Linked DNA regions of Oryctolagus cuniculus. The protein of the gene in region 4 interacts with the protein of the main gene of each other region in a pairwise test. Links are inferred from orthologs where the notes say so. Each region holds a gene or a part of one and is shown on either strand. Other genes may lie near its edges.

Region 1 (3,500 bases), on a different chromosome or scaffold from region 4:
TAGCAAATTTCCGGATTAGAATTTTTTTTTTTTCCAAACAAAACATTTGTCTTAGTAAAATACTCGTAAGGGGTCCTGAATTCATTAGGTGCTTTTTTTCGTGTGTGTTGACCCTACATACATACAGTATTATGTAAGCAATTATTTTTCATATTATGTGAAAAGAGAAACCCAATTCATGCATTGATTTATTCATTTCATGCTATATTAGCTAGTTATTTCAGTATATATACACACACACATCTGTGTATATACAAAATATGAATAATTTTACTATATGTATTTTATAAGGATTATGATATAAAACATTTAATATAAATTTTAGACACTTTTCTATCACAGTCACATAAATTTGCATTTCAGATACTCAAATTAACTCTAGATTCTTCTTTCTTGCACACCTTAGGTTATACTATTTGTAAGTCTGGAATTATGTCCGAAAACTTAGTAATATTAGTACTTTTAAACAACTAGTATATACATCAAATTATCATATGCAATGTTTTGCATAGGTAACACAGCAAATATTGGTTGATTTTCCTGTACTTTCAGTATCAAAAGGTTGTAATGAAATGGGGAATAACAAAAAGTAGTCAATCTATCAGAGATAATTTATGTAGGAAAGATATAGGGAATTTCAGTAGGTCTTCAGTTCCATAAATGAAAGGAAGTGTAGAAGAATGAATAATGCATTTCTTTAGTCTTCTGTGCATCAGATAATAAGACCTAGAACAACAAAAAAAAAAAATAAAAACAAGCTGAAAAGTTCACTTTCCTAGGCATGAAGATCTTTGTTTCTGTGAAACTTAATGTCTTAAAGCAATCTCTCTAATATTTTAACTCAAAAAGTGTTTTGAAGTTGGTTTCTAGAAATTATTTTCCTGTTTGTATTTAATGGAATAGAAAAATACAACACGTTCAAACACAGCATTTGACCATTTTTTTACTGACATGTTGAACAGTTTATATTGCTTTGTAACACATGATGTGTGTGGTATATATCTGATGATCAGTAGCCATATGCAATCTGCATGTTACACAGTTGTGTCTATGTTGGCTTTACTTAAGTCTAACAGTCCCAGTAGTCATTAATGAAAGTGATCTATGCTTATGCATTTCAAGACTTTTCTCTCCCTGAGTTGTGAGCTTTCTAAAGAGCTTAGATAGGCAAACCTTTTGGGTATGAGAAGAGTTAAATTTATGTTTGACTTATTAATTCAGTCATGAGGGACTTAAGCTGATACATGTACATGAAGCCTTCAATGTAGCATGATTTTGGAGATAAGAGTAGGGTATAGGTTAAAGATTATACTGATAGGCAGTAATTTGATATGATTAATAGTGACCAAGATAGGCCTGCAGTATGTCTAATGTGTATGACAAATGGGTTATTTTGATGTTGAATATATTTATGTGTAGAAAAAATATTAATACACTTTGTGTATGTTAGGGGGAAAGGTAAAATAGTAATTACCATTGTGAAACACAATAGTTAATAAATATTTGAATTTAATTTCATAAAAGAGCTCTTAATAGATTACTTTTATTTAGCTTAGGTGAAATCCTTAAAATAACTTATAAAATTCATGCCCTAAAGTAGATAAAATACTAACAAAGTTTGAATATGCTACCAATTATAATCAACATAAATAAACAGCATTGGGGACAATACAACTAAATGAGCAAAATTTACTATCTTTCATTCAACCTAGACTTTAACTGACATTTGTTCTGTAGATATATATATATATATATATGTAAACAACATAAGCTGCAAATTTAAGTATAGCTAAAATATTTGAAGTTGTAAAAAAAGTAGTTATTTTATTTGCCTAGAAATTAAGCTAGAACGTTAAGACCAAGCTTATAAAATATGCTAAAGTTGAACAATCAGCTTTAGTAGATAGTAATAAGGAGTTTGTTTTGTTTTCAGGACTTTTCACTTTCTTTTTCTTCTTTGTGGTATTTTAATCTACCTACTAAAGATACTGTTTTAATTTAAGCTTGCTTTCAAAATACATTATGAACAGCTAGTGGAAGTGCCAAGTTAAAATAAATATACATGCTCTTATCCTAGTTTTACCCAAAATGCATGTATTGAGATTATAATAATTTTTAGTAATGTAAGTTTTTTTTAAAAGTTCTTATCACTGTGTTAGATAATGATAATAGTTTATCTCTTGCGTAGAAGATGTTCATGCCACTCAAGGGAGAGTGAAGGGGTGGACAAAGGAGCAAAAGACTTCTTTCATCCTTTATGGTTCCCAAAGTTGGAGGAAATACCTGGAAGTGCAACAGAAACTTAACCAGATTTTGTTTGCTTTAAAGGAAGAGGTCTTTCCAAAGAGAGAATTAACAACTGTGACTGAACCAGTCCTTCTAATTTGTTAACTTATTGCTATATTTTAGAATCTTAATATGGTATACAATATTTAAGTCTGTGTGATTACTTCTTGACTTTATTTCAGATCAGACCCCAACTCCAACAAGATTCTTGAAAAACTGTGAAGAAGTGGGTTTGTTTAATGAGTTGGCAAGTCCATTTGAGAATGAATTCAAGAAAGCTTCAGAAGACGACATTAAAAAAGTACGTTGTTAATCGTAAAATTAAGAGAAGAGTACTTTTGATAGAAAAAATATTGCTAGCTTATACTTCATACTTTCTAATGGCCTACATTTGAACTTGTGACATTTTCTTTATTTATTGTTTACATTTTAGATGCCTCTAGATTTATCCCCTCTTGCAACACCCATCATAAGAAGTAAAATTGAGGAGCCTTCTGTTGTAGAAACAACTCACCAGGATAGTCCTTTACCTCACCCAGAGTCTACTACCAGTGATGAAAAGGTTAGAATGTTATATTTGTGATAGCATATAAGCTAAGGAGGAAAAAGTTGGTACCCCAAGTAAAGTTTAATTTTTAATGTGTAAAAGCCTCTGACTAGCCAAATATTTCAGGGAAAGAAGATTCCTTCTTTATTCAGGGCTGGGGAGCATTTTTTTCTGCCAAGGTCCATTTGGCTATTATAACATCATTTGTGGGCCATATAAAATTATCAACTTAAAAATCAGCCTGCTGTAGATTTATTGAATTTTGAGTACCACCTGTGGTTGCCTTGGCAGGGCCAGACCAAATGATTTCACAGGTCTTGTATGGCCCACAGACTGTATGTTTCCCACCCCATTAATACATAATCAACTTAAACACAGAGAAATTATAGGGGAGAATAAGAGTCATTTTAGATAAAACTTACTTTAAGAGGGAAATGTAAATTTACCATTTAATGTGGTTTTTCTGTATTTTGTTGGTTAGTTACCTTTAGATGAGGGCACTTCAGTAAGTTTATGGAAAAAAGTTTATTTTGGTGAAAAAGAACTTTCAAATCCATGCATAGTTTTTTCATAGCATACATTTTCATGAATTTTTTTCTGGTATCCATGGTATCCCAAGAATTTCAGATCAGCAGCTTAATTAAGAAATCTGTACAACTAGTAACTT
Region 2 (4,277 bases), on a different chromosome or scaffold from region 4:
GGGGGGAGCAGGTGTACACTGGGGGGGAGGTGTGCACTGGGGGGAGCAGGTGTGCACTGGGGGGGGAGCAGGTGTGCACTCACTCTGGGGGAGGCAGGGTCCCCGGGGCCCCCACTTTGTCTCCTCACCGGGAACACTGACCCGGCAGCGCGGGCGTCCCCTGCACACGTGAGCCTGAGCCGGGCCTGCGAGTCCCACACTCAGCGGCTGTGTCTGACCCTAGAGTGCTGGCCCTGGACCGAACTCCTTAAACCCTCAGATGAGCCGCACCCTCTCCTCACTGCGCACCTGGACGCCTGCCCGCTGCCCCGGGGGAACGCTCCACCACCACTTCTGGGGCCACTCCGGGAAGGGGCTGAGTGAGACAAGAGGTGGCGCAACTCGGGAACCGACAGGAGCAGGGACAGCAGGGACCACGGGCAGGGCGGGCAGCGCGGTGTGGGCGGGCAGCGCGGTGTGGGCGGGGCAGCATGGCATGGGCGGGGCAGTGCCTTGTGGGTGGAGCAGCGCAGCATGGGCGGGGCAGTGCCTTGTGGGTGGAGCAGCGCAGCATGGGTGTGGGCGGGGCAGCATGGCATGGGCGGGGCAGTGCCTTGTGGGTGGAGCAGCGCAGCATGGGCGGGGCAGCGCGGTGTGGGTGTGGGCGGGGCAGCATGGCATGGGCGGGGCAGCGCGGTGTGGGCGGGGCAGCATGGCATGGGCGGGGCAGCGCAGGGCCGTCTTACCTTGTCCCATAAGGACTGCAGCTCCTCCTGGCCGCCCAGGTCCCAGAACATGAGGCGAGCTTTCCCCACGTCCACGGTGCCGACTGGACAGAGAACAGGAAAGGCTCGTGACCTTGCCCCTGGACACACACGTGCCAGAGCTCCTGGGGGACCAACAACCCACTGGCGCTGCTGGGAAGTCAGCGGCTGAGGGCAGGGCAGGCCCTGGGGTCACCATCGGTCAGGGCGGGGTCTGGGGTCACCATCGGTCAGGGCGGGGTCTGGGGGTCACCATCAGTCGGGGCAGGCCCTGGGGGTCAGCAGAGGAGGGCAGGGCAGGGTCTGGGGTCACCATCGGTCAGGGCGGCCCCGGGGTCAGCAGCAGTCAGGCCGGGCTGCGGTGGCCAGCTGCTGGGCCGTGGCCGTCACAGCAGGCTCAGGGCTCCACCCGCGCCAGAGGCCCCGCCTTACTGTTGAGGCCCACGGTGGTGGTGATCTTGCTCAGGCTCATCCCCTTGTAGTTCTTGCTAAACCGGGTCTTCGACTGCTCCAGGAAGGTCTGGGGAGACAGGGCAGGCGGCGTCGGGGGCCAGTGCAGGCAGGGCCGCGAGCCGCTGCCGCTCAGGGGGCGGGGCCTGGCCCCAGCCCAGCGCTCCGGGCCGCGGCCGGGCACCTACCGTCTTGCCGGCATTGTCCAGCCCCAGGATCAGGATGCAGTACTCGTCTTTCTGGAACATGTACTTGTACAGGCCGGACAGCAGCGTGTACATCCTGCCCTGGACACCGAGACACGTCACGGCCGTCGGGCCCGCGCCCCGCCCCGCCAGGCTCGAGGCGGGCCCGGGGGCGGCTCCCGCACGGGCCTCGGCTCCCGCCGCCCCGCGTCCCGGCCGCACGGCCCCCGGGCCCGCAGCCTACCTGCGCCCGCCAGACGCGCGGAGCAGCCGAGCGCCGGGCCCCGCCGACCCCGCGCCGACCCCGCGCGGCGCCTGACGGGACGCGTCCCGGCGGCCCCCGCGCGCCCGGCACTTCCGGCGCGGAGCGGAAGTGCCGGCGGCAGCGGCGGCGAGGGCGGAAGGGGCGCCGGGCGGCTGTGGTGGGGGCCCGGGGGCCGCGCGGAGGAGGCCGGCCCGGGCGGACGCGGCGGAGGGCGCCCCCGGCGCCGCGCGGCCCGCGGCATGGACGAGGCGGCCCTGCAGACGTACCGCGCGCAGCTGCAGCAGGTGGAGCGCGCCCTGGGCGCCGGCCGGGACTCGCCCGAGGAGGCCGACCTGCGCCAGCTGCAGCGGGACCTGCGGGAGCTCATCGAGCTCACCGAGGCCGGCCTGGCGTCCGACGGGCCCGGCGCCCCGCCTGAGCCCCCGGCCCCGGCCGCCGCTGCGGGCCCCGCGCCCGCGCCCGCGCCCGCCGAGGAGCTGAGCGGGACCAAGGTGAACGCCCCCTTCTACAGCGCCTGGGGCTCGGCCGAGTACCACAACGCCATGGTGGTGGGCACGGAGGAGGCGCGCGGCGGCGCGGCGCGCGTGCGCGTGCTCTGCCTGTGCCCCACGCGCGCGGCGCTCAAGCCCTGCCCGTTCTTCCTGGAGGGCAGGTGCCGCTTCACGGAGCGCTGCAGGTGAGGCGCGGGAACCCCCGGGCGCGTCTGCGGGAGGCCGGAGCCGGTGCGGCCCAGCCGCCGGCTCCGCGGGAAGACGTGGAGCGTACCTTCCTGCGGGGGTCCCCCCGCGTGCGCAGAGCAGGGGCGGCGCCGTGACCTCCCCCGCTGCCCTGGCTCTGCCAGTCTCGCGCCCCTGCGTTCCCTTCCCGACTTTGTAAAAGTATTCGTTCACTTGAACGACTTGGAGGTCATCCATCCGCTGGTCACTCCCCAGATGGCCGCAGCGGCCAGGGCTGGAGAAGGGGGCGGGGCGGCCACGACGCGGGGCCCAGCCTTGCCGGCACGTCTCCCGCGTCTCCCCTCCTTGCTTCCTCCCTGGAGTCTTGCTGTAGCGTGCAGGCGGGGCGGCTGGGCTCTCCTGCCCGGGGTCTCGGGGCTCCGTCCCCGCCGCTCCGCTGGAGGGGGCAGCAGGCGCCGGGCGCTGCTGGCCGAGGCGGCCCGGCCGTTCTGAAGACTTGCAGAGCGGGTTACATACACCTGCCCCAGCACGGCTAGGGTTGCAAAGTTGTTTTCCTGGACTTTTAAGACAACAGAAACAAAACGGGCTGGGCTCCCGCTGCGTGGGTCCCCTGCAGTCTGCCCCCTCTGCCGTTGGTGCGCCTGCTCTTGCTGGAGGCGTCCCCGCGTGTGTCGCGTGGGCGGTGTGTTCAGCCCTGTGGATGCTGCCTCTCTGTTCTGTCCCCGCCTCCAGGGAGAGCTTTGCCCGGCCGAGCCCTGGCGGCAGTGACCTTGCCTGACCGGGAGCTGCGGGGGCCCGGGTTGGACTCTGTTTCCCCTGTGTCTGGCGAGGACGGCCAAAAAACTGTCTCAGACCCCCTCCCTCGACGGAACTGGGCGCTGTGCCGGGCTGTGAGGTCAGACGCTGTGTGACCAGATGGACTCCCTGACCAGCTGGCCGGGAAATAGCCGCCCCTCCAGCAGTGGCCGCTGGCCGGGCTCCCCAGGCTCGCCCGCGCCCTGGCTCAGCACTCCTTGTCTTTTTTAGATCGATTTATTTGAAAGACAAAGTGACGAAGATCTTCCATCCGCTGACTCACTCCCCACAAGGCCACACCAAATTCAAAAAATTTATTTATTTATTTGAAAGGCAGAGTGACAGAGGGAGAGACAGAGATCTCCCACCCACTGGTTCACTCCTCAGGGGGCCTCCACAGGCAGGCTGGACCAAGCCAGAGCCAGGACTGGGCTGTGCTGGACCAGGCTGGAGCCAGGACTGGAGCCGGGGTGCCCCAGCACTTGACCATCGTCTGCTTCCTTCCGAGGCGCGTGACCAGGGAGCTGGAGTGGAAGCCACACTGCAGTAGGGCGCCAGCGCCACAGGCGGCAGCTTCACCCTCGGCCACAGCACCAGCCCCCGCTTGGTGTTGCCGTAGCTCCCGGCCCGGCCAGCCCCTGCTGTCTCTGATCGGCCGTGTCTCCACACGTCACAGTGGGATCTGCCTGTCACCCCGCCTTTTTCTGTGGCTTACTTCACTTAGCCCTGGTTTCAGGGCCCATTACCGTGTGGCGTGCATCAGAGCTCCATTCCAGCCCACGCACGGGCGTTCGACTGGAGTGGGGGGCTGTTGGGACCCCACGTCCCCCTGCAGTGCCGCCTGCAGCTCCTGCTACTGTGGGCCTTGGGAGGCAGCAGGGAGGGCTCCGGCCGTTGGGTCCCCAGATGGAGTTCCTGGCCCTGGCCTGGCCTCGTCCTGGCCGTCGTGGGCATCTGGGAGATGAACCAGTAAAGTCTGTCCTCTCGAATAAATACATTTTTAGAAAGAATCGTTCACGGGGGAGCTGGATGGGAAGTGGAGCAGCCGGGACTCGGACTGGCGCCCCCGTGGGACGCTGGCCCTGCAGGCGGTGGCTTTACCCGCTGCGCCACGGCGCCGGCCCTGGTTCTGACGGTTTTGATGGCTCTGTCTTCTCAGAGT
Region 3 (3,500 bases), on a different chromosome or scaffold from region 4:
GGTTGAGTTTCCTGTTCTGGGTGGTAGCCTGACCCCGTCCTGGCCTTTGTGAGCATTTTAGGAGTGATCCAGCAGATGCCTGTCTCTCAAATAAAAAATTACAAAAAACCACATGAATCTTACTACTTTTTTTAAAAAAAGATTTGAGAGATATAATAAATAATGTATTTATTAGCAAGAAGGGGAGAGAGAGAGAGAGGGATGGAGGGAGGGAGGAGATAGATGGAGAGAGATAAATAGAGCTTCCATCCACTGATTCACTCCCCAAATGGCTGCAACAGCCAGGGCTGGGCCAAGCCAAAGCCAGGAACCTGGGTGCAGGGGCCCAAGCACTTGGGCCATCTTCTGCTGCTTTCCCAGGCACATTAGCAGGGAGCTGGATTGGAAGTGGAACAGCCAGGACTCGAACAGGAGCCCATATGAGAGGCCAGCCCTGCAGGCAGAGATTAACCTATGCCATAGCGCCGGCCCCATGCATCTTACTGCATAAGTATGTCATTCCAATCTGAGCTCAGTAGTGAGTTATCTTAGTGAAGTGGTCTAACAGAGACACTTTAGAGACCAACTGGGCGTCTGCCCCACTTTTGGCACCTAGTTATGTGACTTTGTATCATTTTGTCTGAGCTTTGATTTCCTCTTAGGCAAAGGGAGACGAACCCCTGCCATCTAAGGTGTGGGTGAGGGCTCTCAGAGTGTTTGCTGCATTGGGAGTGCTCAGCAAATGTTAGCTCCCTAGTGTTTCTATTTTTAGGTCCTTCTTGTCTCTATTCCCTGCCTGTTTTGATTGTTCAAGACAACAGAATCTTGTTTTCTTTTCTTTGTTTTATTTCCTTCACAAGTCATTCTCTTTTTTTCCCTCTAATCATAGAACAATATCTATTTTTTCTTTAAATCGCAAGGAAGACGTTTTAAGAACTATTTAGCTCACATGTTCAGTGTCCTTACTAATACAGCTTCCACAGTAACCCAGACGTGTTCTCCGTGGGCTTCTTTGACTTGCATGTTGTGAGATGTTACTTCTTTTATTTAGGTGTTTATTGTTGGAGTAGCATTTCCCCTCAGGTTCCTCGCTCGTTTCTCGTGGAACTTTGGGAAACTGCACAGCAGTAGCAAGGACATTTAATGTCCACAGTGTGGGGTGGACGCTTGCCTGGTGGCTCAGATGCTGGTGCAGCTGCCCACATCCCACACCGGAGTGCCTGGGTTCCGTAACTGGCCGCACCGCCTCCGTCTTGCTTCTCGATAATCAAGACTCTGGGAGGTGGTGGTGCTGGCTGCCGAGGACTGGGTCGGTGCCACCCACATGGGAGACCTGGAGTGAGGTCCTGGCTCCTGGCTTCAGCCCAGCCCAGCCCCTCTCGGGGAGAGAACCAGTGATTGGGAACGCTCTCTGTTCATCTGTTTCTCTCTTTCTCTGGTACTCTTGCTACTTGGGCATATTTCTGTTTTAATGTTCTGTTACTCATATGTGTGAATCTGCTATTGAAGATGTGTGTTTTGAGAGGCAGGAATGTCAGTAAAACTTGACAACAGCTTTCTGTGCCTTAGAAGTAATGCTGGAAAGATTTAGGATCTGAGATCTGTGTACTTGCATTTGTTTTCCTCTAAAATGAAATGTAATCCAATGCGTGGAAATCTCATGGTCACAGTCATTGAGACACACCTCATTTCTGAGGGTCCTGGCTTTGGTTTGAGAATTGCTTAAGGTGAACCTACTTTTTCCAGCACCTAAAAGTATTTGCACCCCTTGAGCCTTGATTTTTTTTTTTTTTACAGGCAGAGTGGGCAGTGAGAGAGAGACAGAGAGAAAGGTCTTCCTTTGCTGTTGGTTCACCCTCCAATGGCCACCGTGGCCGGTGTGCTGCAGCCAGCGCACCACGCTTATCCAAAGGCAGGAGCCAGGTGCTTCTCCTGGTCTCCCATGGGGTGCAGGGCCCAAGCACTTGGGCCATCCTCCACTGCACTCCCTGGCCACAGCAGAGAGCTGGACTGGAAGAGGGGCAACCGGGACAGAATCCGGCGCCCCAACCGGGACTAGAACCTGGTGTGCCAGTGCTGCAGGTGGAGGATTAGCCTAGTGAGCCGCAGCACCAGCCTTTGAGCCTTGATCTTAGTGCTGATTATTTTCAGCATATATATTTTTAAAGCTTTAATTCACGGGGCTGGTGCTGTGGCGCAGCGGATTAATACCCTGGCCTGAAGCACCGGCATCCCATATGGGTGCCGGTTTGAGTCCCGGCTGCTCCACTTCCAATCCAGCTCTCTGCTGTGGCCTGGGAAAGCTGCGGTTGATGACCCAAGTCCTTGGGCCCCTGCACCCGCGGGAGAGACCTGGAGGAAGTTCCTGGCTCCTGGCTTCAGATCAGCGCAGCTCCAGCTGTTGTGGTCAATTTGGGAGTGAACTAGCGGATGGAAGACCTCTCTCTCTCTCTCTCTCTCTCTCTCTCTCTTTCTCTCTGCCTCTCCTCGCTCTGTGTAGCTCTTTCAAATAAATAAATCTTAAAAAAACCCAAAGCTTTAATTCACATTTTTTTTTTAAATCTCCAACAGAGTTTTCTTTCTTTGATCCTAACGATGCCTCGTGCCAGGAGATCCTCTTCGATCCCAAGACGTCGGTCTCAGAATTGTTTGCCATTTTAAGACAGTGGGTCCCTCAAGTCCAGCAAAACATTGACGTTATCGGAAATGAGGTGAGGAGTCACGGCAGCTTGGGTTCTGCGCTGTCAGAGCGCGGTGGAGCAGAGCGTCTGCTGTTGGCATCTGTGCGTCCCGGCTTTTCGTGGGGCTGGGAGTCCAGGCTGTGCGTTCTGCTTGCTGTTTCCTCTTGCTCCGCGCGTTCTTGCACCTGGAGTTCTGACCTTGCAGGCTTGCTAGGTTCAGGGCGAGCTGTTTGTCCCTGTGAAATGGGGAGAGAGAACACTCCCCTTGGGTCGTGTGCCTCAGAGCAGAGAGCCCTCAGCGTTCTCAAATCTGAGGCAGCGACACCTGCCCTGCTTCCTGCTCTGTGGCAATTCATTTGCTAAACATCTGTGCACTTGGTGAAGGGATTTGATTGCCATCACATTATATCCACACTTCGGGGTGGCTTCATAAAGATCGAGGCATCAGTATAATTTTAAAACAATATTTGGTTTTTGAGAGGGAAGCTTCCCTGACGAGGGTGCTATCAAACTGTGTAAAGAGAGCACTAAGCCCTTCTCCCTAATAGCATGGTACTCAGGAGAAAGAATACCGGGCTTGCGTTTGGGACAAGCGTACAATTTGGATTGCCAGATTACCTTGGAGTAATCTTTAAGAGTTTCCTCCAGTGCGGTGACAAGTACAATTTTCATTACCGTTGCTGAGTGCAGATTTAAAATTCACCCTAAAGGGAAGTCAGTCCTGTCTGTGGCGACTGCTGAGAGTAAAACAATTCAGATAAGTAGACTGGCTTGATTCTCAGCGCTGCATTGAAGGTAATTGGTGCTTAGGTGGTCCACATTGTGATTCTGTTTTCCCTC
Region 4 (3,500 bases):
CCCCCCACAGCCGTGCCTGTGCCGCCGCCCCCAGATTGGCCAGGCCATCGAGGAGGTCAACAGCAACAACCAGGAGCTGCTGCGCAAGTACCGCCGGGAGCTGCAGCTGCGCAAGAAGTGCCACAACGAGCTCGTGCGGCTGAAAGGTGACCGTGACCGCCAGGCGGGCCGGGCCGGGGGTGCTGCCCCATGGAGGAGCTAGACCAGGACACGGAGCCGCAGAGCGGTCAGGGAACATGCTCCAGGCTGTGTGGCGGAGAACGGTCTGCCTCGGGCGTGTGCAGCGCTGAAGCCCCCGCCCAGCGCCCGCAGCAGTTCACTCCCCGGGGCCCTGGGTAGTGGCGGCTGGGTTGCCACTTGTTCTCACCTGGGGCCTGCACGGAAGCCTGGGTGCTCTGTGCCAGGTGCTGCCGCCCCAGAGGTGCCGTCCCTGCCCTCATGGTACTCGCCTTGGCTGGGAGAATGGACAGTGACTGTCACCCAGGGGACCCTAACTGTGTTCCCTTACGAAAGAGCCGGGAGGCGCTCTGACAGCCCCTGGTATGGGACAGATGTCGGTGTGTAGGGGGCTCCTGGAGGAGGCAGAGCTGTAACTGACACCTGGCCTGTGAGCTGGACGGGGACTAGGAGGGGAAGGAAGGGGGGGCCATGTTGGGGGGGGTGCTGGGATTCCACGAGTGGGTTGGAAGCAAGGGGTGCATGACCAGCTCATGCTGCCAGACACCCTTGGGTGCCCCAGTGTCTCTGCCCAGCTGTCTGCCTGCCTCCTGGCCTGATGGCCGAGCCCTTCTAGAATGACCAGAAAACGTCCTTGGCTCATCAAGGCTCCAGCTGCTCGTTGAGGGGTGAGGAAGCCAAGGTCCAGAGGGCAAGGTCTCTTCTCAGGCTGGGGCAGTGCCGGAGCCCCACCAGTGCCACCCGCCTTTCCTCCCAGCCCCAAGGCAGAGCCCCCAGGGCTGCATTGCTCAAAGGCATACCACAGTGCAGGGGATGGATGACAGCCCTGGGAGGGGGGCTCCTGGACCTCTCGCCTTCCTGGAACACCAGAGGGTACCAGTGTGAAGGCCATGTGGTTTATTTTATTTTTCGAAGATTGATTTATTTGAAAGGCAGAGTTAGAGGCAGAGAGAGAGGTCTTCCATCTACTGGTTCATTCTCCAAATGGCTGCAATAGCTGCAGCTGCGCCGATCTGAAGCCAGGAGCCTGGAGCTGCTTCTGGGTCTCCCATGGGGGTGCAGGAGCCCAAGGACTTGGACCATCTTCTGCTTTCCCAGACTATTAGGGAGCTGGATTGGAAGTGGAGCAGCCGTAACTCGAACTTGTACCCATATGGTTTTTTTTTATTTTTCTTTTTTTCTTTTTCTTTCTTTCTTTTTTTTTTTTTTTTTGACAGGCAGAGTGGACAGTGAGAGAGAGACAGAGAGAAAGGTCTTCCTTTGCCGTTGGTTCACCCTCCAATGGCCGCCGTGGCCGGCGCGCTGCGGCCGGCGCACCGCGCTGATCCGATGGCAGGAGCCAGGAGCCAGGTGCTTTTCCTGGTCTCCCATGGGGTGCAGGGCCCAAGCACCTGGGCCATCCTCCACTGCACTCCCTGGCCACAGCAGAGGGCTGGCCTGGAAGAGGGGCAACCGGGACAGAATCCGGCGCCCCGACCGGGACTAGAACCCGGTGTGCCGGCGCCACTAGGCGGAGGATTAGCCTAGTGAGCCGCGGCGCCGGCCCCCTTATGGTTTTATCCACTACACCCCAGCACCACCCCCGGCTTTGTACTTTTTAAATATTTGTCGGAGATGCAGAGAGAAAAGAGACAAAAAGACCTTCCCTCCACTGGTTCACTCTCCAGGTGGCTGCAACAGCCAGTGCTGGGCCAGGCAGAAGCCAGGAGCCTGCAGCTCCATCCAGGTCTCCCACCAGGTGCAGGGGCCCAAGCACTTGGGCCATCCTCTGCTGCTTTCCCAGGTGCTTTAGCAGGGAGCTGGGTCAGAAGTGGAGCAGCTGGCACTCAAACCAGTGCCCACATGGGAGCCTCATTGCACGCAGAGGCTTAGCCCACTGCGCCAAGATGCCAGCCTTGGCAGTCTGCTCTAGACCCGGCCTGGGCCCTTCTCTCCACCCCCAACCAACTCAGGGAACATCCGGGTGATTGCTCGTGTCCGGCCAGTCACCAAAGAGGATGGGGAAGGCCCGGAGGCGACCAACGCAGTGACCTTCGACCCTGATGACGACTCCATCATCCACCTGCTGCACAAGGGCAAGCCCGTGTCCTTTGAGCTGGACAAGGTCTTCTCGCCGTGGGCCTCGCAGCAGGACGTGAGTGCAGCCCAGAGGGACAGACAGACTCGTGGGGAGAGCCAGACGGAAGGTGGTGGGGACGAGTGAGAAGCAAAGACTGAGGGCCTCAGAAGCCTCCCGTGGGAAGGGCCGGGTTGCCTGCAGACCACCCCACCCCACCCATGTGTCAGGCCCTGCCCACCATGTGGCTCCTCCCATTTATGTGATCCAGGGCCCCTAAGCGCCCTCTCCTGCCAAGAATACCCTCTTTTGTGGTTAAAGATTTATTTATTTGCTTCCAGCTGCTGGTTCACCCCCCAAATGGCTGCAGTAAAGCCAGGGCTGGGCCAGGCTGAAGCCAAGAACCAGGAGCTTTTTACGGGTCTCCCATGCGGGTGTAGGAGCCCAAGCACTTGGGCCATCTTCCACTGCTTTCCCAGGCCATTAGGGAACTGGGTGGGAAGTGGAGTAGCTGGGACATGAACTGGCACCCATATGGGATGCCTGTGCTGCAGGCTGTGGCTTAACCCACTGTGCTACAGCACTGGTCCCAAGGATACCCTCTTGTATCAGTCCCCTGGATCTTGCTAGGGCTTCTGTCCCCTCAGGTACATGGGTGCTGTGTGGTCTCTGCATCCCCCTTTCTCTGCCACACCCAGTCCCCCGGGCCTGTCCTGCCTGTGCCCTCCTGTTCCCACGTCCACCCCTTTGTTCCTGCATGGTCTGCTGGCGGCAGGCCCTGGAGGTACAGGTGCAGGCAGGTGCCTACCTCTGCCTTCATTCACTGAGCTGCACGGGGGACCACGCACCGGCGTTGGTGGAAGCACCCCAGCTGCCCACCAGTGTCCAGCACGGGGGGCTGGAGAGCAGGGAGCATCAGCAGGGCCACAGGCCATGGTGTTGCTGGGGGCGAGCGGGCTTGGAGCTGGCGGGGCCCCACAGTCCGTCACACTCCTCTTCCAGGTGTTCCAGGAGGTGCAGGCCCTGGTCACCTCCTGCATCGACGGCTTCAACGTCTGCATCTTCGCCTATGGCCAGACGGGCGCTGGCAAGACGTACACCATGGAGGTAGGTGCTGCCCGCGGGGCACCCCTCACGGACACCGGGGTTCTGCACAGCGTGTGTTTTGCCTCGGGAGCAGAGGCCCCGAGACCCCAGGCCACTTTAAACTGGGGCCTAGGCAGCAGTTGCTGCCGCCAGTGGAGGGGGCGTTTGGGGGACATGACCA
Region 5 (4,235 bases), on a different chromosome or scaffold from region 4:
ACCCACATAGCAGGACCTATAAACTGATATCTCCAAACTAGATTCAAGCACCATACCTAAGTGCCCAAACAAGGTCAAAGAATCACGTAAGGGTATATGTATACAGGAGGGGGTTATGGTGCATGGAAGTGATGGGGTAGACTGGCTTTGGCAAAACAAAAGGACTAACAGAAGCTTATTGTGATAGTTCTGGTGGGTATGGTATCTGCATTTACATGTTATATTTGACAAAACTGAAACAAATTAACCCTGAAAATTTGAGATAGAGACTCTAACCAATCTGAAGGCAAATATCTGACTCCTACACTCTCTTCCCTGTCTTTTCAGCACTTTTTCCTCCAGCCCCAGAACTTTCTGCCCTGTGGGACTTTCTGTGGTAGCTTATCAAGGTTTACTTCTGGGATCTGTCAGGTACGATGGCCTCAGAACAGTGTCAAACTCATAAGACTTAGTTTTCTTTTTTGGGTAGGTCCCCATCCTTTTGAAACTAGCTCATTGTACAAACTAATCTCTCCTAAGGTAATATTAGTTTGTAGTATACATTTTAGCTTAACAGGCCCTCTGGAAGTGTAATTACCACTACAGATAAATGACTGACTCCCCTACCACAGCAGCCAAATCACACTGTCATCTTAGGGCAAGTTGTTCAAATGGCAGTCCCATGGGCAGTTGTTTTAATTTGGGGTGGGTGCTTGGCACAGTGGTTAAGATACTGCTTGCATCCTGTATCAGAGTGCCTAGGTTCAAGTCCTGACTCCGCTTCCAATTCTAGCTCCCTGCTAATACATGACCTGAGAGGCAGCAGGTGATGGTTCTGATAGTACTTATGTACCTGCTATCCACGTGAGAGATCCAAATGGAGTTCCCAATTACCAGTATCAACCTGGCCCAGCCATATCTACTGCAGGCTTTTGGGGGACCAACATACGAAGGATCCCTCTTTGTCTCTGTCTCTAGCTCTCTGCCTTTTAAATAAATAAATTGAAAAAATTAAATAACTATTATTTATATAAATTGTGCTTTCAATAAAACATACATTATCTTATTTGGATCTTATATTAGCTAGGTCAGCTGGGAAAGAGAGACAATTATTCTTTTTGTTCAGAGAAAGAAACTGAGATTTTAAGGAAGTTATGTGCTAACATCACCCAGCACATGGCAGAGAATGGATTCGACTTCAGGATTCCAAATTCTTTTCCTCCATTCAAAGATTTTTTTCCTCCATCACTGTGCCTCCTTTGTTGCCCACTGAAAATTGTGTGAGGGGTGGGGGTGGGGGGAGCTTTATTACAGCAAAGCTGGTCCTCGGATGCTTCCCCTGGTTCATGTTCAGGGTCTCCAGCTGCCTTACTTAGGGATAACCATGAGTTGTTACCCTGTTGGAGAGATATTGGCCATACAAAATGCTGCTACAAAATTTTTCATTAATAGCTTTAGAGTACAGATAACAATTCCAAAACATGCAGTTATTTATTTCTACTAGACCCAGGCCATGACAGTTAGCTTATGAGACGCTTTGGACAAATTAAAGAACGCTGAACCTGGTGGACTTGCGAGCAGGACACATGTGGCTCTGAAAACTGATCAACGAATAGGCTGTTTCCTCCCACCCTGAGGAGTCATTTGGGAAGCACTGGAATCTCAGTAATTTGCTTCTCTGGCTATTTATCTGTACGTGTGTCGATTTACCCACCATCTTGATGTTTTAAACACCCGTCAGGTAACACTAAAGTACAATTGATAGCACAGCTGATGCACCTGTTTCTTCAGGGATTATCCACCAAGGGATAGATTAATTTTCCTCGTTAAGTAAACAAAAAAACGCGAATACTGGCTGTTCATTCCCAACAGATACTTAAAGAGTAGGGAATAAAATTCTGTACTTTGAACTGTCTAGAAAATGGAGTGACATGAATGCCCTCCAAGAAATTTTTATAGTAATCTCTTCGGTGAAAATTAAAAGGCCTTCCCACGCCTCCGTGTCGAGTATTTTCTGTGGGGGCAGAGAAAGAGGTGGGCCGGGGACCGGGTCGGGAGGATCTGCACGCGGCACCGCGTCTCCCAGCCGGAAATCAGCCTGGCGGGGACCGGGACCAGCCCTTAGCCCGCGCCCAGTCCCATCCCCGGTCGTGCCCCCGCTGTACCGCCACTCGCTCAGGCCGCACAACTTTGTAGTCGTCTTCATCCTCCGAGGCCGCCGCCGCTGCCGTCAGGGAAGTGAAGGGGTCTTCGCGTTCGTACTGGGCGACCCGCGCTCCGGTGTTGGGATTTACCGGGAGTTGGAGACTGGCGGCCGCCAGCCTGGCCTCTCGGTGTGAGGCGGCCATCACCCGCCTCCGAGGCCGGAGCGCCAGCGCTGGCCCGGGGCGGGTAAGCTGGCGCGGCCCGGGAGACCCGGCGGCTCCTCGCTTACAGCCGGCGGTTACTAGGGGCGCGGTAACTAGGGACGCTACAGGGGCTGCGAGGGATCAAAAGACTAAAAAGCTTCTCGGGCTGCCTGGGACCCGAGTCCGTCACTCAACTGGAGAATGGGAGTCAGAACTAAATCTGTTTGCTGGATTAGAAGATTGCGGACGGAAAAGGGCACCTCTTCCCCTCCGGTCACCTAAACGCAGACTTCTGACACTATCATAACACACCCGTTTTGTGAAGACAAGAGCGCATTTTTATTAACTGGAATACCAGGTTGGGAGGGGATGATGGCGGAGGAGAGTAGCATCTTATTGTGAAGTGACCTCAGAAGAATGTCAAGATTTGTATCCCAATACCAAACATGGCTGCCTCAGAGCAAGAGAAGGGGAAGGATTGACCTGAGCAGGAATCAGCCAATCAGAAGGAGGCTGCTAGGTGACTCTCGCGCGATTTTTTTGACCTGACCAATAAAAAGCCCAGGGTAGGGTGGCGCCTGGCCCGCCCACCAATGACGATACCCGTACAGAACGCGATGCTCGCTTTGGAGTCGCAGGCCTATGAGTGGCGGGGACTGAGGGCGCCAGTGTCCGACGCGCCATAGACACACCTTCATTCCACCTCACCCCCGCCACCTTCCCACTGGGCACTGGGGCGCCTCCACTGGCTCCTTCCCTTCACCACGTGGCTGCAAGAGGCCAAGCCAGAGTGTCACATGCTGCCTCAGCCCCTCCTTGGTGAGACCAAGGCCGCCGCCCCTTTCCTCGCCCTATCATTTGGATTCCTTCGCCCCTGGCCAAGTCTGCACTATTTCCCGTTCTGTTAAGGGCCTTTGTCACTCCAAAGTGTGGTCCCGCTTTCTGGCGAGTTCTAAGAAACACCGGGAGGAGCTGTCACACAAAGCAACTTATCTGGGGGCCTTCTCCGAGGCTCAATATGTTAATCCTCCGCCTGCGGCCAGGGGCGCCGGTTCTAGTTCCAGCTGCTGCTCTTCCAGTCCAGCTCTCTGCTGTGGCCTGGGAAGGCAGTGGAGGATGGCCCAGGTGCGTGCGTCCCTGCAGCCGCAAGAGAGACCCGGAAGAGGCTCCTGGCTTCGGATGGGCGCGGCTCCGGCCACTGCGGCCATTTGGGGGGTGAACCAACAGATGGAAGACCTTTCTGTCTCTACTCTAACTCTACCTCTCAAATAAATGAATAAAATCTTAAACAAAACAAAGTAACTTACCTGCAGCAAATGAGGAAACCACGAAGAATCATTTCCAAAGTCTAACTCCACAAGCAGGTAACTTTTATTTAGGGGGAAATGATTATTTAAGAGGGGAAGTTTTTATTTACTTTTTAAAAGTTTTTTAAAAATTTATTTGAAAGCCAAAGTTAGAGAGAGGAAGACAAAGACAGATCTTCGTCCGCAGGTTCAATGGCCCAAATGGCCACATTGGCTAGGGCTGCACCACGCCTAAACCAGCAATCTGGAATGCCATCTCCGTCTCCCCTGTTGTTTTTTAGGATTCATGTATTTATTTGAAAGGCAGTTAGAGAAGGAGAGATTGATCTTCCATCTGCTAGTTTACACCCCAAATGGCCATAACCGCCAAGGTAAGACCAAAGCCAGGAGCCTCTTCTGGGTCTCCCACGTAGGCCAGCTGCTTTCCCAGGTGGAGTGGAAGTGGAGCAGCTGGGACACTAATCGGCACCCATATGGGGTGCTAGTGCCACAGGCAGAGACTTAACCTATGTCACAGTGCCGGCCCGTTCATTGTCTTGATACAGGATATGCAGACAGCTAGAGCTGGCTAAGCTGGCAATCAAGTTCCCGTATAATTCTT
Region 6 (2,322 bases), on a different chromosome or scaffold from region 4:
GGGGACAAGGGATTACACTTGAAATTGACCGTCTGAAGAGAGGGTGGGGCTGTATTATTAAAAGGGTGCTGCTCACTGTGTGAGGGGTCTTCCTGGATTACTAAAGCAGCTAGATGGGACTGGGTGCTCACCAAGGCGATTTGTCTGCCCACAGTCCGTGCAGCCATGGGAGCGGCGCACCTTCCCCCTGGCCTACAGTCCCCAGGCCGAGTGTGAGGACCAGCTGGATGCGCAGGAACGGGCAGCCCGCTGCACTCGGCGCACCTCAGGCAGCAAGACTGGCAGGGAGGCAGAGGTGGCGCCCACCTCGCCTCCCGTTGTTCCCCTCAAGAGTCGGCATCTGGCGGCAACAGTCACAGCTCAGCGCCCGACTCACAGATGAGTGGGAAATGGGAATCTAAACAGACTCACTAACTATTGGCATTAAAGCTTCAGAAATCTCTGCGTTTGATATTCAAACATCATATGCCGGAAATTTTCACAGTTTTTAGTGAATTTAAGGAATTTAGATCCTACTTTGGTATTTTTTTCTTGTTTTGATTTTTGTTTTGTTTTTGTTTCCATGTTTTCTTGTCACACACCTGAGCACTTCCTCCAGTTGGCAAACAGAAGTTCAGGATAAGACCCTGCTGGCCTGGTCCTGGCGTAGCCTCTGCACTGTTGAATCACTGGACCTACGAAGTTAGATGATCACCCTTCTCCCTCACCCCTGTGGGCAGGGTGGAATGCCAAAAGCGCAGAGGGAATGGAAAGCTCCAGTTCAGCTTTGCCTTCTTAGGTTAGGGTGGGACAGAGCTCGGCACCCTGGGCTCTTACGCCTTCCCCTCTCATCAGTGACTTGGTTCAGCTCTGGCCAGGTCCCCATCTCCCACACCACGGTCTCCCCCCACCTGCCCGCTGTACTCCCTGAGCCCTCAGCTGGCAGAAAGCTGCTCCCTGTCACCCGTTTTCAGTTTCACTGCATTTGGCCATGTGCCATGACTCCTTCACTGTAACCTGGCTGCAGCTGCTCAGGTTGCCCCAGCCCGTCCCTCTGTACCCTTCCTTCGTGGCTCCCCCAAACGCCATGCACACCCGGTCCTTCCACTCGGAACGCACTTGCCTCCTGTGCTGCTCTGTGAAGGTGCAGTTAGGACAGCTGCACCTCTGTTCCCACTCCCCTGCAGGGGCAGCCATCTCTCCTGTGTGCTGTTGCTTTCACCAGCTGATCCACTCCTGTGTCAATTGGACTTTCCTCTTTCACACACCCCTTGCCTGTGGAACATCGTCTAGTCCTGGCTGTGGTTTCCATCCCTCCCCCGTTCCCTCCTTTGTTAACCTTGTGCCTGTCTCATGTATAATCACATCACCAAAGGGGGAGGGGGGAAGGACTTTTTTTTTTCCTGCCATTTTGTAATCGTATAAAAATAGTAGACAAACTGCTTAATGGTTGGGGTTTTTTCACAATTTTCAACATTAGTGATTTTTTTTTTTTTGGTTCTGTTTGCAAGTTAAAGGGTTTGTCATTGTTTCTTTCAAAAACAATAATGCACCATATCCCTATGCATAAAGTGCTTCTTCTATTTATAAGGTTGAAAATTCTGAATAACCCTTTTAGCATTGTAAAAAAATTGAAAAAACTGTATTTTGTAAATATTTTCTTTTCCTGCTTTGAGCTGTGTAATGGCAGCGAAACATGTAGCTGTCTTTGTTCTATAGAAATGCTTTTCTTCAGAGAAGCTGATCTTTGTTAATGTCTTGATTCTGTTCGCAAAGCACAGACTCGTGCTTAAAAAAAAGGAAGGAAAAATTGAAAAAAATAATAAAAAAAAGAGTTACAGAATGTTATGTATGTGCCGGGTGTTTCTTGGCGTGTCGGGCTGTGTGTGATAACTGGCTCTGAGTCGGGAGGTCTCTGTTCCGCCGTCACCTGGCAATCGCCAGTGAATGCACTGTGCTAGTTCCCGCTGCGGGGTGGGGCAGGGCGGACAGGGCGGACCGGGCATCCTGTAGAGCCTCTGCCTTTTCTTTTTACTGGGCTGAAGTGGCCATAGCCCCTCGGTGGTCCTTGTTCTCCAGTGAGGCCAGTGCTGTGATGCTGTGTCCCTAGGCTTAAGTTGCTTGCTCTTGGAGCTTTACTTCTCACATCAGTCAGTGGCTGGTCTGCACAGAGCCTGGGCTGGCGCCCACCGTGCTACCTGAGCTTACAGCATCTTTCTTCGAAGGAGGCACAGTGCTTGATTTTCTTGGTAGGAATGAGCAGGCCTCATTCTACCCCCTTCTCTGTTCTGTTTATGGCAGTCTAGCCAGAGAGAGCAGAGGCTGCCCGGTGAGGTGCCGCGG
Region 7 (4,291 bases), on a different chromosome or scaffold from region 4:
CAGGGCCGGCGCTGTGGCGTAGCAGGTAAAGCTGCCGCCTGCAGTGCCGGCATCCCATGTGGGTGCCAGTCCTAGCTGTTCCACTTCCGATCCAGCTCTCTGCTAATGGTCTGGGAAAGCAGCAGAGGATGGTCCAAGTGCACCTGTGTGGGAGACCCAGCTCCTGGCTCCTAGCTTTGGATTGGCCCAGCTCCGGCCATTGTGGCCATATGGGGAATGAACTAGCAGACAGAAGACCTCTCTCTCTCTCTCTCTCTGCCTCTGCCTCTCTGTAGCTCTGCCTTTCAAATACATACATACATACATAAAAAAGCATAGGTGCACATGGATACTTGTGTTTTTAAAAAATGGGGGGGGGCATCTTCTTCACAGCTCCTGGCGCAGAGGGAAGAATGAATTCAGGTATGTTTGCAGGTAGAAACTTAGGTCTCCACATCCTGTTTGCACCTAGTTTCTCCAGGAAACAGAGGAGGAGGAGGGTTTGAGGGGTGTGCAGATGGGTGAAGTCACCTGCTATGGAGAAGGTACTCATTGTTGGTCCCAGTGAGGTTGAAAATCTGATCTTGCCCTGGCACCAGTCCACTTGGTCCTCACAAGCACGTGGAGAGGGGAGGCAGGTCAAAAGTGCAAGTGCTTGGGCCGGAGTTGTGGTGCAGCAGGTTAGGCCACAGCCTGCAAAGCTGGCATCCTGTACAGACACAGGTTCATGTCCCAGCTGCTCCACTTCCAATCCAGCTCCCTGCTAGTGGCCTGGGAAAAACAGCATTAGAGGGCCCAACTGCTTGGGCCCCTGCACCCAGGTGGGGGACCCAGAAGAAGCTCCTGGCCTCAGCCTGGCCCAGCCACAGCCGCTGTGACCATTTGGGGAGTGAGCCAGCAGATGGAAGATTTCTCTTGCCTCTCTCCGTAACTCTGACTTAAAAATAAAACAATTTTTAAAAAAATTCAAGTTCTTCGATGACGAAGGAGAATTCCTTCCATAGTCTCTGTTTATGCAATCGGGTAGTCATCAATACTCACCAATCCATGGAAGTAAACGGAGCAGGGAGCTCCTATAGGAGCAGGCCAAAGGAGTGGAGGCCTAGGCTGAGGACTTCCCCCAGCCCGGTGGAAAGGGGCAGTGACATTCAGCGGTTCCTAAAAACTGAAAGTGGATCCGCCCGGGGCTCAAGTTCCCAGGCTCCCTCCGCCCCCGGCCCCTCCGCTTTCCCAGTACCTTCCAGCTGCCCCGCCGCGTCGCATCCACCCCACTTCTGTCCTTGCTCCACCCACTGCAAACTGGCGTGCTTTCCTTCCACGTGGTACTCTGTGTACGTCGGTTGCCCGGGAGACCCTGGCCGGGCGGGGAGGGGATGACGTCACAATAGAGACGAGCCAATCGCCGTGAGACGCGGGGCGTGGCTCTGCCAGCCTGGGTGCAATGAGGTGGCTGCCCGCTGGGTGGCGCCGATTTCCCGGGGAGGTCCTTCCAGGGCCCCCGGCGGAGGTGGGGGAGAGGCGGGCAGGAGCCGAGGCCAGGGAGCCCTCTGCGTCAGCTGCTGCTCACTGCACCGCGCCTGTACCAGCCGGGACTCACCCGCAGCTCCATGCTTGTGCCGGGTTCGACTCGTCCATCCTCCGAGAAGAGGCAGGTACGTGCCACCTGTCGGAGATCGGGAACAGGGGGTGCGGAGGTCAGTTGCCGGTTTCAGGTTCCGAAGGTGAGAGGTCAGCGTCAGCCTGGGCACCAGAAATGTAGGGCGAGGGCCAGCTGAGCGGGGGAGCTCCAGCGGCGGGCGCCCGCGTGCGAGGGGGGCTGCCAGCTGGCAGCCCGTGGTGCCAGGAAGAGCCATCTGTGTACGGATCGGTGTGTTCCGAGAAGCGCAGCTCCCGCGGGCCGGGGGCCTGAGCCTCACCGCCTGGACGCCGACGGCCCCCTCCCCACGCGTGCGCGCAGCTCGCCAAGCTCGCGACGGCTGTCTGTGGTCAGTTTGCCAGAAGCGGGGGAGGGGGGTGTTGGGGGAGGGTAGCAGTTACGCGGAATGGGAGAATTTCCACCAATCCCAAATCAGAAAGAGGCATCTTTGAAATCCTCACCAATCCCAACCCAGACGCCGGCACGCGGTGCTCCGGGGCACGCAACTTCTAGTCTGGAGCCCAGGGAAGCCAGCCCAGGACGACCCATTCTAGCTCCCCGCGGAGGAGTGGGCGCTCCACCTCCCAGGCCCGCTGCTTTCGGAGCGGGACCAAGATGGAGCTGGAGGCAAGGGCTGCTGCCCTCGCCTCGCGCGTCAGGGGCGCGAGAACAGCCCCGGGGAAGCGCGGCTGCCCCCTCCCCTTTGATGCCGCACACACGTGCCAGGCTGCAGTTGGAATGAGGACCGGAATGACAGCCCGGGCGCGGGCGGCCTGGGAAGTGCATCAGCAGGTCGAGGGCTGAGTCAGTAGCCCGTGCTGAGACGGGGCGGAGGCACAGCCTGGGGAACTCGCCGCGCTCTGGGACAGCCAGCGAGAAACTACCCGGGAGCAGACAGGTGCACCAAGAACTCTCCTCCTCCTTCCTGCGACCCTGTGCGGCCCGGCCCCGAGGCCCTGGAATCCTGAGCTCTGGAACAGGTAGAGTGGGAGCCCCCAGCAGGGTCAGGCAGGGGGGGAAGGGTCCCAGATGGGCTGACTCCCCCCCCCTCCCCGTGTTGGAGAGGACATTTAGAAAGATGCTCTTCCCACTGATGGGCCAGGCACCTGTTCAGAGCCCTGTGGCACTCTGGTGTTGGAGAGGGTGCCCACGTCCCCTTCCCAGGAAGATTCGCGGGGTGAGGTGCTGCTCTAGTACAGCCGCTAAGCTACAGGAACCAAGGCAAGTGTTCGGTTTAACCGTCATGGGTTGGAGTCTTCTATAGGCCAGGAAATGTCACAAAGATTAATCCATGCTCACAACTGTGAGATGTACCCCTATTATTATTATTTTCTTTTATTATTATTCCTCCTGTATAAGCTAACAAGGAGCCCAGGCCCAGCGAGCACAGTGATTGCTCACTGTCTCAGATCCAGTGGGAAGGAGCTAGAATGCAAGCCCAGGCCGAGGCGTCCATGCTGAAAGCGTATGGAGCTGAAGCCTGGGTGCTGGCCGCTGTGCCCCGAGACCCACTCCTTCTCCCAGTTAAAGGAGCTGGGCTGGCCCCGAGGCCTCTCCCCTCTTTGCCCCTGTGGTGGACAGATCCAGAGCCTCTGCCTTTGCCCCCACCCCTCTGCCCTCTTTCCTGTCCTGTTTCCTCCTGACACCCACTCCCCTACCCCACCCCTCCGTCCCCCCTTCCACACGCGCCCCTCCCCAGAGGCCCAGCGGCTCTCTTAGGCTGGCACTGGCCAGGTGGGGCAGTGGCGGAGGGTGGGCCTGCTACTGTCCCTTTAATTCTCTCGGGGCTTGGAATCCAAGTGAGTTGCTGCCGTCTCAGGGAGGTCAGATAAGATACTATATATATCAGCCGGAACCCGAGCCCCGGATTACCCAGCCTCCTGGCTCGGGCTCTCCGCCTCCACTGGGTTCCCTGCCCTGCCCGGGAAGGAGAAGCCCCCAGGCTCCGCCAGCTCCCCCAGCACAGGTCAGTCGTGTGCCTCTGGTGTCTGCGTTTCTGTCCTCCAGACGTCCAGGGGTCTGGGGTAGCCTGTGGTTCGAGGCTGCCCACCCGGCCTGTGGGAGCCATGGGTGGGAGCTGAGGACTGAGGAAAGAGCGATCCCTGGAGGACAGAGTGGGAGATGGAGACGCTCCCTGGGGAGGGTCTGGGCAGATCACGCCTGAAGAGGGAATATATGGGCACCAGCGCTGCCTGCAGGTCCCGTTCTTTGCCACCTCTTGGAAGTAGAGGGATGCCCACCCCCTCCCAACCCCAAATCAAGACGCACCCTAGAAGGCAGTGCTCTGAGCCCTCCCACTTCTTCTCCACCAGTCAGGAGTCTCCCCCTAATCTCCAATCTCTATCACCCCTCCCCCATCCCTGAGCCCCTGCACAGCCCCCTAGAGACCAGAGGGACCCAGATTCCCCTGGATGGTCCCTTGCTGAGGCAGGGGCCCGGCGGTGCTAGCACAAGACAGACAGAGCTGCCACGAACAGGCAGGCGGGGAGGGGGCAGGTGGCCACCCCAGGGCAGGAGTGGAGCAGGCAGAGTTCCCGGACTGTGGGCCCCGCCCCCACCCTCTACCCGCATCCTCCACTCCTGCCAGGGTTGACACTTGTGCCCTGACTTTAGCAGGCGGCCAGCGCAGCGAGGGGTACGGGTCAGAGAGTGTCAGCTAGGGGCCCCCTCTCACCT

Evidence for each region.
Region 1: the proteins of KIFC3 (region 4) and ATF2 interact in binary tests that used the Homo sapiens proteins (3 or more experiments, as listed by UniProt). The two-hybrid records come from large-scale screens. The link is inferred for Oryctolagus cuniculus from reciprocal best matches to the Homo sapiens genes KIFC3 and ATF2.
Region 2: the proteins of KIFC3 (region 4) and ZGPAT interact in binary tests that used the Homo sapiens proteins (3 or more experiments, as listed by UniProt). The two-hybrid records come from large-scale screens. The link is inferred for Oryctolagus cuniculus from reciprocal best matches to the Homo sapiens genes KIFC3 and ZGPAT.
Region 3: the proteins of KIFC3 (region 4) and CLIP4 interact in binary tests that used the Homo sapiens proteins (3 or more experiments, as listed by UniProt). The two-hybrid records come from large-scale screens. The link is inferred for Oryctolagus cuniculus from reciprocal best matches to the Homo sapiens genes KIFC3 and CLIP4.
Region 5: the proteins of KIFC3 (region 4) and FAM161A interact in binary tests that used the Homo sapiens proteins (3 or more experiments, as listed by UniProt). The link is inferred for Oryctolagus cuniculus from reciprocal best matches to the Homo sapiens genes KIFC3 and FAM161A.
Region 6: the proteins of KIFC3 (region 4) and KANSL1 interact in binary tests that used the Homo sapiens proteins (3 or more experiments, as listed by UniProt). The two-hybrid records come from large-scale screens. The link is inferred for Oryctolagus cuniculus from reciprocal best matches to the Homo sapiens genes KIFC3 and KANSL1.
Region 7: the proteins of KIFC3 (region 4) and USP2 interact in binary tests that used the Homo sapiens proteins (3 or more experiments, as listed by UniProt). The two-hybrid records come from large-scale screens. The link is inferred for Oryctolagus cuniculus from reciprocal best matches to the Homo sapiens genes KIFC3 and USP2.

Annotation. Positions count from the first base shown.
Region 1 is NC_091434.1:66,026,607-66,030,106, forward strand, and holds part of ATF2 (cyclic AMP-dependent transcription factor ATF-2), read left to right. Parts: intron 1-2,468; coding exon 2,469-2,587; intron 2,588-2,719; coding exon 2,720-2,848; intron 2,849-3,500. UniProt on the Homo sapiens protein: Transcriptional activator which regulates the transcription of various genes, including those involved in anti-apoptosis, cell growth, and DNA damage response.
Region 2 is NC_091442.1:348,523-352,799, reverse strand, and holds the start of ZGPAT (zinc finger CCCH-type with G patch domain-containing protein), read left to right. Parts: upstream 1-1,477; 5' UTR 1,478-1,882; coding exon 1,883-2,319; intron 2,320-4,277. Other genes in the region: ARFRP1 (ADP-ribosylation factor-related protein 1), read right to left, coding at 289-355, 726-808, 1,176-1,263, 1,382-1,474. UniProt on the Homo sapiens protein: Transcription repressor that specifically binds the 5'-GGAG[GA]A[GA]A-3' consensus sequence. Represses transcription by recruiting the chromatin multiprotein complex NuRD to target promoters.
Region 3 is NC_091433.1:173,864,631-173,868,130, reverse strand, and holds part of CLIP4 (CAP-Gly domain-containing linker protein 4), read left to right. Parts: intron 1-2,550; coding exon 2,551-2,690; intron 2,691-3,500.
Region 4 is NC_091449.1:41,231,008-41,234,507, reverse strand, and holds part of KIFC3 (kinesin-like protein KIFC3), read left to right. Parts: intron 1-34; coding exon 35-146; intron 147-2,129; coding exon 2,130-2,311; intron 2,312-3,235; coding exon 3,236-3,340; intron 3,341-3,500. UniProt on the Homo sapiens protein: Minus-end microtubule-dependent motor protein. Involved in apically targeted transport. Required for zonula adherens maintenance.
Region 5 is NC_091433.1:140,941,708-140,945,942, reverse strand, and holds the start of FAM161A (protein FAM161A), read right to left. Parts: upstream 2,801-4,235; 5' UTR 2,328-2,800; coding exon 2,145-2,327; intron 1-2,144. UniProt on the Homo sapiens protein: Involved in ciliogenesis.
Region 6 is NC_091448.1:17,223,636-17,225,957, forward strand, and holds the end of KANSL1 (KAT8 regulatory NSL complex subunit 1), read left to right. Parts: intron 1-154; coding exon 155-382; 3' UTR 383-1,822; downstream 1,823-2,322. UniProt on the Homo sapiens protein: Non-catalytic component of the NSL histone acetyltransferase complex, a multiprotein complex that mediates histone H4 acetylation at 'Lys-5'- and 'Lys-8' (H4K5ac and H4K8ac) at transcription start sites and promotes transcription initiation.
Region 7 is NC_091432.1:110,941,470-110,945,760, forward strand, and holds the start of USP2 (ubiquitin carboxyl-terminal hydrolase 2), read left to right. Parts: upstream 1-1,491; 5' UTR 1,492-1,631; intron 1,632-2,095; exon of another isoform or gene 2,096-2,595; intron 2,596-3,421; exon of another isoform or gene 3,422-3,581; intron 3,582-4,291. UniProt on the Homo sapiens protein: Hydrolase that deubiquitinates polyubiquitinated target proteins such as MDM2, MDM4 and CCND1. Isoform 1 and isoform 4 possess both ubiquitin-specific peptidase and isopeptidase activities.